Saccharomyces cerevisiae S288C: one gene and its partner. The gene in region 1 interacts genetically with each later gene. Each region holds a gene or a part of one and is shown on either strand. Other genes may lie near its edges.

What was found.
Region 2: of HST1 (region 1) and SUM1, changing one suppresses a phenotype caused by changing the other (phenotypic suppression), as found in Saccharomyces cerevisiae (5 studies listed by BioGRID, with this or other methods).

Annotation. Positions count from the first base shown.
Region 1 is NC_001147.6:199,868-203,634, reverse strand, and holds HST1 (histone deacetylase HST1), read left to right. Parts: upstream 1-1,755; coding exon 1,756-3,267; downstream 3,268-3,767. Other genes in the region: bifunctional DRAP deaminase/tRNA pseudouridine synthase RIB2, read left to right, coding at 1-939; RTG1 (Rtg1p), read left to right, coding at 1,117-1,650; kinetochore-associated Ndc80 complex subunit NUF2, read right to left, coding at 3,338-3,767. UniProt on the Saccharomyces cerevisiae protein: NAD-dependent histone deacetylase involved in telomeric silencing.
Region 2 is NC_001136.10:1,080,356-1,086,123, forward strand, and holds SUM1 (Sum1p), read right to left. Parts: upstream 3,962-5,768; coding exon 773-3,961; downstream 1-772. Other genes in the region: TFIIH/NER complex subunit TFB1, read left to right, coding at 4,710-5,768. UniProt on the Saccharomyces cerevisiae protein: DNA-binding protein that specifically binds the regulatory region of middle sporulation genes (MSE). Required for the repression of middle sporulation genes during vegetative growth. Represses expression via the recruitment of histone deacetylase HST1.

The DNA.
Region 1 (3,767 bases):
GAAAACGCTAAACATGCCAAGACCGTTTTCCAAAGGGTTAGCTATGATGGACAGACGAGTATTGTAAAGTGTAAACCATTGACAGGTAGAACTCACCAAATAAGAGTCCATTTGCAGTACTTGGGATTTCCCATAGCAAATGACCCTATATACTCGAACCCAGATATCTGGGGTCCAGATTTGGGCCGCGGTGGACTTCAAAACTATGATGACATCGTTCTGAAACTAGACGCTATTGGCAAGACTAATCCTGCAGAGAGCTGGATTCATCCTCATAGCGAGGGTGAATACTTGCTTGGCCGTCAGTGCGAAGAATGCGAGGCTGAAATGTACACAGATCCCGGTACTAATGATCTCGACCTCTGGCTGCATGCCTTCCGGTACGAGTCATTGGAAAGAAATTCGGATACGCAAAAACCTCTCTGGAGTTATAGAACAAAATACCCTGAATGGGCCTTAGAGCCACATCGCCGATATATGGAAATGGCCGTTAAGGAAGCTGGTAAGTGTGGCCCGACAAAGACTGCTTTTAGTGTTGGTGCCGTTCTTGTTCATGGAACTCAAGTACTTGCCACAGGATATTCAAGAGAGCTACCAGGAAACACTCATGCAGAACAGTGTGCTTTGATAAAGTACTCGCAGTTACACCCGAACTGTCCCACTATAGTCCCTATGGGAACAGTGCTCTATACAACCATGGAACCCTGTTCCTTCAGGCTAAGTGGCAATGAGCCTTGCTGCGATAGAATCCTGGCCACCCAAGGTGCCATTGGTACTGTCTTCGTGGGGGTTATGGAGCCCGATACATTTGTTAAAAACAATACAAGTTTGAACAAGCTGGAATCGCACGGTGTGAACTACATACAAATACCAGGCTACGAGGAGGAGTGCACCATCATTGCCTTCAAAGGCCACGATAATAGTGACGACAAAGCTTAGACTATTTAGCATATATATTATCATGTAATCTTACATCATATCTACAATAACCACTCATTACTGGAAACGGAAAAAGGCGCCACCGAAAATTTTGAGTAAAAAGAATGGAATTAACTTCAACCACAACACAGACAAAAAACACTAGATAGTGAACCAAAAGAAAGCACAACACCAAACATGAGCAGCATTCCAGCTGGCACTGATCCTGGGTCCTGCGGTGCTAATTTCAAGAATGACCGCAAGCGCAGAGATAAGATCAACGACCGTATTCAAGAACTATTGAGTATCATTCCCAAAGACTTCTTTAGAGATTATTACGGCAATTCTGGTAGCAATGACACGTTAAGTGAATCCACTCCCGGTGCGCTTGGGTTGTCCAGCAAGGCCAAAGGTACAGGGACCAAGGACGGAAAGCCCAACAAGGGCCAAATTCTCACACAGGCGGTAGAGTACATATCACATCTACAAAATCAAGTGGACACACAGAACAGAGAGGAGGTGGAACTGATGGTGAAGGCCACTCAGTTGGCCAAGCAGACAGGCACCATTGTCAACGATATAAACTTAGAGAACACCAGCGCTGAAGTCGCCCTGTCCAGGATTGGCGTGGGACCGCTGGCCGCAACAAATGATGACTCAGTAAGACCGCCAGCAAAGAGGTTGAGCTCCTTCGAGTACGGAGGGTATGGTGAGTACGGTAATGGTAGCTAAAAGTACTTCTGACTCTCACTATTGCTATGTTGTGATAACCCTCGTTGGTAGTGATACGAACACTTCTCTTCTTTTTTGTTGTTTTTGTGAGAAAAAAAAATCTAAATGAACATATTGCTAATGCAACGGATAGTTAGTTTTATTTTGGTGGTTAGTCAAGGGCGATACTTTCATGTTGGAGAGCTGACCATGACAATGTTGAAAAGACCTCAAGAAGAAGAGTCAGATAATAATGCTACGAAGAAGCTGAAAACGAGATTAACGTACCCTTGTATCCTCGGGAAGGATAAGGTGACGGGCAAATTCATCTTTCCTGCAATCACTAAAGATGATGTTATGAATGCAAGACTGTTTTTGAAGGACAACGATTTGAAAACTTTTTTAGAATATTTTTTGCCAGTGGAAGTCAACTCGATCTACATTTATTTCATGATAAAATTGCTGGGATTCGACGTCAAAGATAAAGAACTATTTATGGCGTTAAACTCTAATATCACTTCTAATAAAGAACGTTCTAGTGCGGAACTATCGTCTATACATGCAAAAGCTGAAGATGAGGACGAGTTGACCGATCCCTTAGAGAAAAAGCATGCAGTAAAATTAATCAAAGATTTACAAAAAGCCATAAATAAAGTCCTTAGTACAAGGCTTCGATTACCCAACTTCAATACGATTGATCATTTCACCGCCACTTTGCGTAACGCCAAAAAAATTTTGGTTCTGACGGGCGCTGGAGTTTCCACTTCTTTAGGTATTCCCGATTTTAGATCATCTGAGGGGTTTTATTCTAAGATCCGACACCTTGGATTGGAAGACCCTCAGGATGTTTTCAACTTGGATATATTCTTACAGGACCCTTCTGTTTTTTACAATATTGCCCATATGGTTTTACCACCAGAGAACATGTATTCTCCGTTGCACAGCTTCATTAAAATGCTACAAGACAAGGGCAAACTATTAAGAAACTACACACAGAATATAGATAACTTAGAATCGTATGCAGGGATAGATCCTGATAAATTAGTGCAATGTCACGGTTCATTCGCCACTGCATCTTGTGTGACTTGCCATTGGCAAATACCTGGTGAGAAAATATTCGAAAATATTAGAAACCTTGAACTACCATTATGTCCCTACTGTTATCAAAAAAGAAAACAATATTTTCCTATGAGTAATGGCAATAATACGGTGCAAACAAACATAAATTTCAACTCACCCATTTTAAAGTCGTATGGTGTTTTGAAACCAGACATGACATTTTTTGGCGAGGCCCTGCCATCGCGATTTCATAAGACCATCCGCAAAGATATACTGGAATGCGATCTATTGATTTGTATAGGAACAAGTTTGAAAGTGGCTCCTGTGTCTGAAATTGTCAATATGGTACCTTCACATGTTCCGCAGATTTTGATCAATAGGGATATGGTTACACATGCAGAGTTTGACTTAAACCTGTTGGGATTCTGTGATGACGTGGCCAGTCTCGTAGCTAAAAAATGCCATTGGGATATACCGCATAAAAAATGGCAAGATCTAAAGAAGATAGATTACAACTGTACGGAAATAGATAAAGGTACGTATAAGATTAAGAAACAGCCACGAAAGAAACAACAGTAAATTCCAAAAAAAAAAAAAAAAAAAAAAAGAAGAAAACACAGAAGGGGGAGTAAAAATAAGTATACCGCTGCTATTGCATATATTCGAGCATTTCATTCATGTATTTATTAATATGACCAGATAATAAAGAATATTCAATCTCAATTTCTTTAACTTCAACTTCGAAATCTTTTTGTAATTGTTTAATTTCATCATTTAATTTATTGATTTTACCACTGATCAGTTCCTCTTGAATGAAAATGTCCGTTTTGTCAATCTTAGGTTTGATTTCATTTTCATATTTGATTTGTAGATCCATCAATTTAGTATCATTTAGGCGCGACTCTTCTTTAGTATCTTGCGATAGCTTTTCCAAATTCTTGAGTTGCAAATCTAACTGTTCTTGTAAGATTTCTAATTTATACATAATACCTGTTTCCAATACATTCATCAATTTCAGCTTATTGTTGATTAAATTTTGCTTTAATCCCACAAGTTCCGTTTCAGTTCGATTAGACTCT
Region 2 (5,768 bases), on another chromosome or scaffold:
GTTTTACTGGAGTTTTACATTTTCAGTTTCTTTTTCGGATGCGAATGATCACTAGCTTGCAAACACGAATTGATCACGTTTCACAATTGTTCCACCAAACATGGCGATAACGGCAGCGTTTCCTCGAGAAATAGGCAACATCTAGATCTCGAAATGGTTGGTCTGCACCTGTTTCTGGGTGACCAATCCTCGGAGCCATTCCAGTGCTTAAGTCTTCAGGGGCCAGAACGCGTCTTTGCCGGGTGCCGCATTCTTTTGGCCCGGTCGCGCCTGCCCAAAGTAGCAATACACAACACCCAAAGAAGGAATTTCTTTTTCTGGAATATTAATGGAGCGGAGCCGCGCGCTTGCTGAACGCCAAAATTATAAAAACAAACTTTGCAGGTTTTTGAATCTGACGCAGTCAATCATGTTTCTTTTCTCGTGTAGGTTAATATAGATAAGCGCCCAGCGGTATGCTTTTTGCGTTTTTTGCTATTTTGAGACAATGGCGATAGTTTAAGTTTCTTAGTATGCAGAGGTGCTTTTGTACGACTGGGGCGTTCCTCAGCGCAAGAGTAAGAAATAGTTACAAATTCGTCGATAAAGGTGTATGTAATGTTAAGCGCTAAATATGTATGTAATGTTAAGCGCTAAATATGTAATGTTCCAAATAAGTTGGGAGGTTACTTGGTTGGGCATAGTAACGGTCCATTATTTTGTGTTTTTTTTATTTTTTTTTATTTTTCATTTTTTTATCTATTCTCGAAACTGCCCCAACGTACGGACCAGCTTAACGGATATCTGGCGGTATGATTCTGGAATATTTGACCTGGTTGTTTTCTGAACCGTCATCAAGGAAGTCAAAAATTAACATGTTGTCGATGGTTTCATTCAGATTGTCTTCGTTAATGCCGTCCTGACCCAATGCCGGCAGTGTTTCGTTATGGGGAAACATCCACTCTCTCCATTGAGTGGTCACATTGTCGCAGAGGTCGTAGAGGATCATTTTTAGCAGGGTAATATGGTTGTAGAACCATGAAACGGATCGATTAATAAATATTCTGTAGTTTTCCATCTCTTTCACCGCATGCAGGATGGTGTAGTTGTGGAATCTTCTTTTGTCTCTTGATTGGTCTCTCCAAAATTCGAAAAGGGCAAATAACGCCTTTCTCCTTTGCCAGGTTCTTTTGGATTCCCGAAGTTTTAAGCCTAGACCAACTAGTTTATTCTCCCACCTGAATTCCATCAAGAAGTACTCCAAACTGTTAACGTATTTCTCTGTCAGCGTTGTCTTGCTCAAAATTTCAAAGGCAAGTTCCGTCTCTTCTTGAATATCAGGCTTGAAGAAATGCGCATTCATTTTTTCATGCTTTGATTTAGCAGCATAATCCTCCTCATTGATGCTAGAGTTGATCAATTCCTCTTCTTTCGCCTTGAATTTAAATTCCAGGTACGCTCCTGTGGTAATGGGAACGTCCGGAATATCTCTCCGGTAGAAGAAGCCTTCCCGGCAGATTAATTCAATGGGAGTTGCCGTTAACAATGTATTGCGTGACTCTGTACCCAAACCGAGGTTTCCGTTGCCATTGCTACTATCGTTAGCAGACTCAGTATCGTTATGGATAGATGAAGTACCTTTGGATAAATCTGCGGAGATGTCTCCTGAGACATTCTCCACGGTGGCCAGCGTTCCGCTATTACCAACACCCCTTTCTCCCTCATCTTCTTCACCTTTTGTATGATCTTCTGTGCGTCTCTTCTTTGGTGATATGCTCGTATTCTCTGTTTGATCCAATGCACCGTCATCGCCTGCTGTTCTTTTCCTTATCGTGTCCGAAGGTTGTGAGTTTTCTAATGGAACGAACGTGGTAGTTTCTTCATCTCCCGGGGTCTTTCTTTCATATTCTGCATTCTCCTTGGTAATTGCCTCTTCCCCAGAATTTAGCATGGACTGTATTCCAACTTTGTGAACCGTATCGGCAGCGGATATGGTTAGACCCATCTTGAGAGAGTCGCTGTTTGCGTTTGAGCCCTCATTGTCAATATCGACGAGTTTTTCTTGCTCTAATGGTTGATATCCTTCCTGTTGGTGGTCTGAAATGCCGCTGATGGAGGCCGATCTTGGTTTTGGCGACATTGAAGAACCTTTAGTTGTTGGTTTTTCTGCACTTTTTATCTTTGAACGGGTGGAGATCTCATTCAAATTTAAGTTCAAGTGATTATCATGTATTATCGAAGTCATTCTTTTCCTCCTCTCTTCTTCTTTCATTGCTTTTAAGAGTTTCTTATTAGACTCCATAAATGACTTTGCTTTATCGCGATCGTTATATTTCATATTAACAAGCATTTTCTCCCTTGAATCACGTCTTTTATCTAATTCTCTTTGTTGTCTATTCATCTCTGACGTAACCGCCGCAGCAGCGGCAGCTGTTGCTGCTGCTGGAGAGGAAACGGGTGGTAATTTGACCGTAATATTACCGCTGGCGTCATAACTTAATGAAAACTGATCGTTAACCATTAATCGGCGAATATCACTATTGATATCTGAATTAGCTGAAAATTTAATGACGTTGTCAGTATTATTATTATTGGTCGTATTATTACCACTATTTTCGCTGGATGATTTGATGGTTATTATTTTCTCCTTCTCGGTTTTATTTTCTTCAACATTTACCTTTCCTTCCACGTTATTATGAACAGTATCAGTAGTATTCGAATCCTCTGCGTTTGGATCACCATTAGTTGAAATTAGAGAGGCCAGTTCTAAACTTTTAATGTCTATTTCTTGTGTGGCTGACCTTGAAGTCCGAACCGGAGCCGGTTGTGACACAGGATTGGATGGAGATGATGGTATTTGATGAAATTTGGAAGATGGAAGCAAGGAATTTATTGGAATCTCGTTTTTAATCCGATTAGATGCATCTGACTTATCTATCGTATCCGTGGAATTGGATATCATTGTTTCCACTGTTCTCTTTTTTGGGGGCCTGCCTCTTTTTCTTTTGATTTGAATTAAGTTGTTCGGCGTAACAGGTGTTGGTGTGATGGAGCTAGAATTAGCAGTGGATGGTCGCTCTTTACCATTTTCATTGTTCGTTCTTTGCGGTACGGAAGTCAAGGACATATCAGCATCATCTCTTGATGATGAAGGGGCAGATAATAAAAGCGACTCTTGTTTCGTTGATGGTTCCACAAAATACCTTTTGGATTTAGACGTTTGTACTACGGCAGTCGGTAAAGTAATATTTACTGGTGAGAAAGGAGCACCCTGATTGGATGCACTTTTGAGATTGACCGAGGCTGCGTTTGACACTAACTTATTCATTGTGGAGGTCGAGGCATCTTTTCTTGGCCTGCCAGGTCCCCTTCGAGAAGAAGAGGTATTATGCTGTGAACTGGTATTGTTGGATGAATTTTCTATGAGAAGGTTAGAGTGATTTACTTTCGAAGTATTTTGCAACATTGTCGATAATTTGTTCAATCGTTCATTCAAATTATTGACCAATATGTCAGTATTTACTTGATTCTTCATGACATCATCCAGCTTATTTTCCAAAACTGATTGGTTGTGTGATAAAACTTTTAATGAGTTAAACAAATCCTGCACAGAATCAGTGAGGGAAGTGTCTTTGGAAAGCAAAGCCGTCTTCAAATCGTTGCATTGTTTTGTGACTTTGTCCATACCCTCTTTTAGGGCTTCAATAGATGAATGTGGAAAGGCCTCGGAATCTTTTATATGAAGCGGATTTGAACCAAAACCAGAGCCAACTTGTCGTTTTATATCAGAATCATCACTGACTGGTATGTCTGTGATGGATGGCAAAGCTTTAGCGTTCGCATCTGTATCTAGCTTCCTCAAACTATTAGCTTGATTTTGAGCACTGGTAAGTGCTAACGTATCTACGTCATCTTTGGGTCCAGACGGAAGTCTCTGTTCATTGGTTATGTTATCAGAAGGGGCTGTGGTGTTCTCAGACATCCCCGCAACAAACGAATTTTGTTAATTATGTATGAAACTTTTCGTTTGATCTCAATAATACCACTAGCGACTAAATTTTTATGATACTTAGCTACTTTAAACAAGTCCCTTGTGCTCTGTTTGCTGACACTTTTGATAAAATATGCCTGTGTATAATTCTTTTAGCAGTTTATTTCAAACACAAATGGTATTAAAAGGATAGATGAAAAAAAAAAAAAAATTAAAGCCACTAGTAATGATACAATCGTGGTATCACAAGCGCTGAATGAAACAAGTGTGGCTATCTATAGCGGATGCAAGTGGAGAACTTGTGAATCCAAACTGAAATATTTTGCCATCATTTGTTGTCCTTTCCCTTTTCCATTCAGGAAAAAAAAAAAAAATTTGACGTCGCCGTCGCGTCGCAGTCATATAATTACAGCAATTTATCTTGTTGAACGACGCAAATTAATGGAAATTGTGACTTACATAGTAAGTATTAGTAAACGTAGTTAAGGCCACGTGGGAAAGATATGAAAGGAGTGTAAGTAATGGATATCGGTCTAACGAAAATGGAAACCAATCTTTAAAAATGATAGTATGATTCGACAGTAAACTAGAAAAGCCACAACCCGTGGGACATGATAAGGCTGCTCGTTTTTGACGCAATTTTTAGACAATACTGAAATTTAGCATAATAAGCTTTCCCAGTGAAAGTAATAATATTTAACCTAGGGTAGGGGTAGGGAAAAAATAAAAGTAAACCATAATGTCACATTCCGGAGCTGCCATTTTTGAGAAAGTTTCTGGGATAATTGCCATAAATGAGGATGTTTCACCCGCAGAATTGACATGGAGGTCTACGGACGGTGACAAGGTTCACACAGTTGTCTTATCCACTATTGACAAGTTACAAGCTACCCCTGCTTCCAGTGAAAAAATGATGTTGAGGCTAATCGGGAAAGTGGATGAGTCAAAAAAGAGAAAAGACAACGAAGGAAATGAGGTTGTGCCCAAACCGCAACGTCATATGTTTTCGTTTAACAATAGAACAGTTATGGATAATATCAAGATGACCCTTCAACAAATCATCTCACGGTATAAAGATGCAGATATCTACGAAGAAAAGAGAAGAAGAGAGGAGTCTGCGCAACACACAGAAACACCAATGAGCTCTTCTTCTGTTACTGCAGGGACTCCCACACCACATCTCGATACACCACAATTGAATAATGGGGCTCCGTTGATTAATACAGCCAAACTAGATGATTCTCTCTCTAAAGAAAAATTGTTGACCAATTTAAAGCTACAGCAATCTTTACTGAAAGGAAACAAAGTTCTAATGAAGGTTTTTCAGGAAACAGTCATTAACGCCGGTTTGCCTCCATCTGAATTTTGGTCAACTAGAATTCCGTTATTGAGGGCTTTTGCCTTATCTACTTCTCAAAAAGTTGGGCCTTACAACGTTTTGTCAACTATCAAGCCGGTGGCTTCATCGGAAAACAAAGTCAATGTTAATTTGTCAAGAGAAAAAATTTTGAATATTTTTGAGAACTATCCAATTGTAAAGAAAGCTTACACTGATAATGTGCCCAAAAATTTCAAAGAACCAGAGTTCTGGGCAAGGTTCTTCTCTTCGAAGTTATTCAGAAAATTAAGGGGTGAAAAGATCATGCAAAATGATAGAGGTGACGTAATCATTGACAGGTACTTGACATTGGATCAAGAGTTCGACAGAAAAGATGATGACATGCTATTGCATCCTGTGAAAAAAATTATAGATTTAGATGGTAACATACAGGACGACCCAGTTGTACGAGGCAACAGG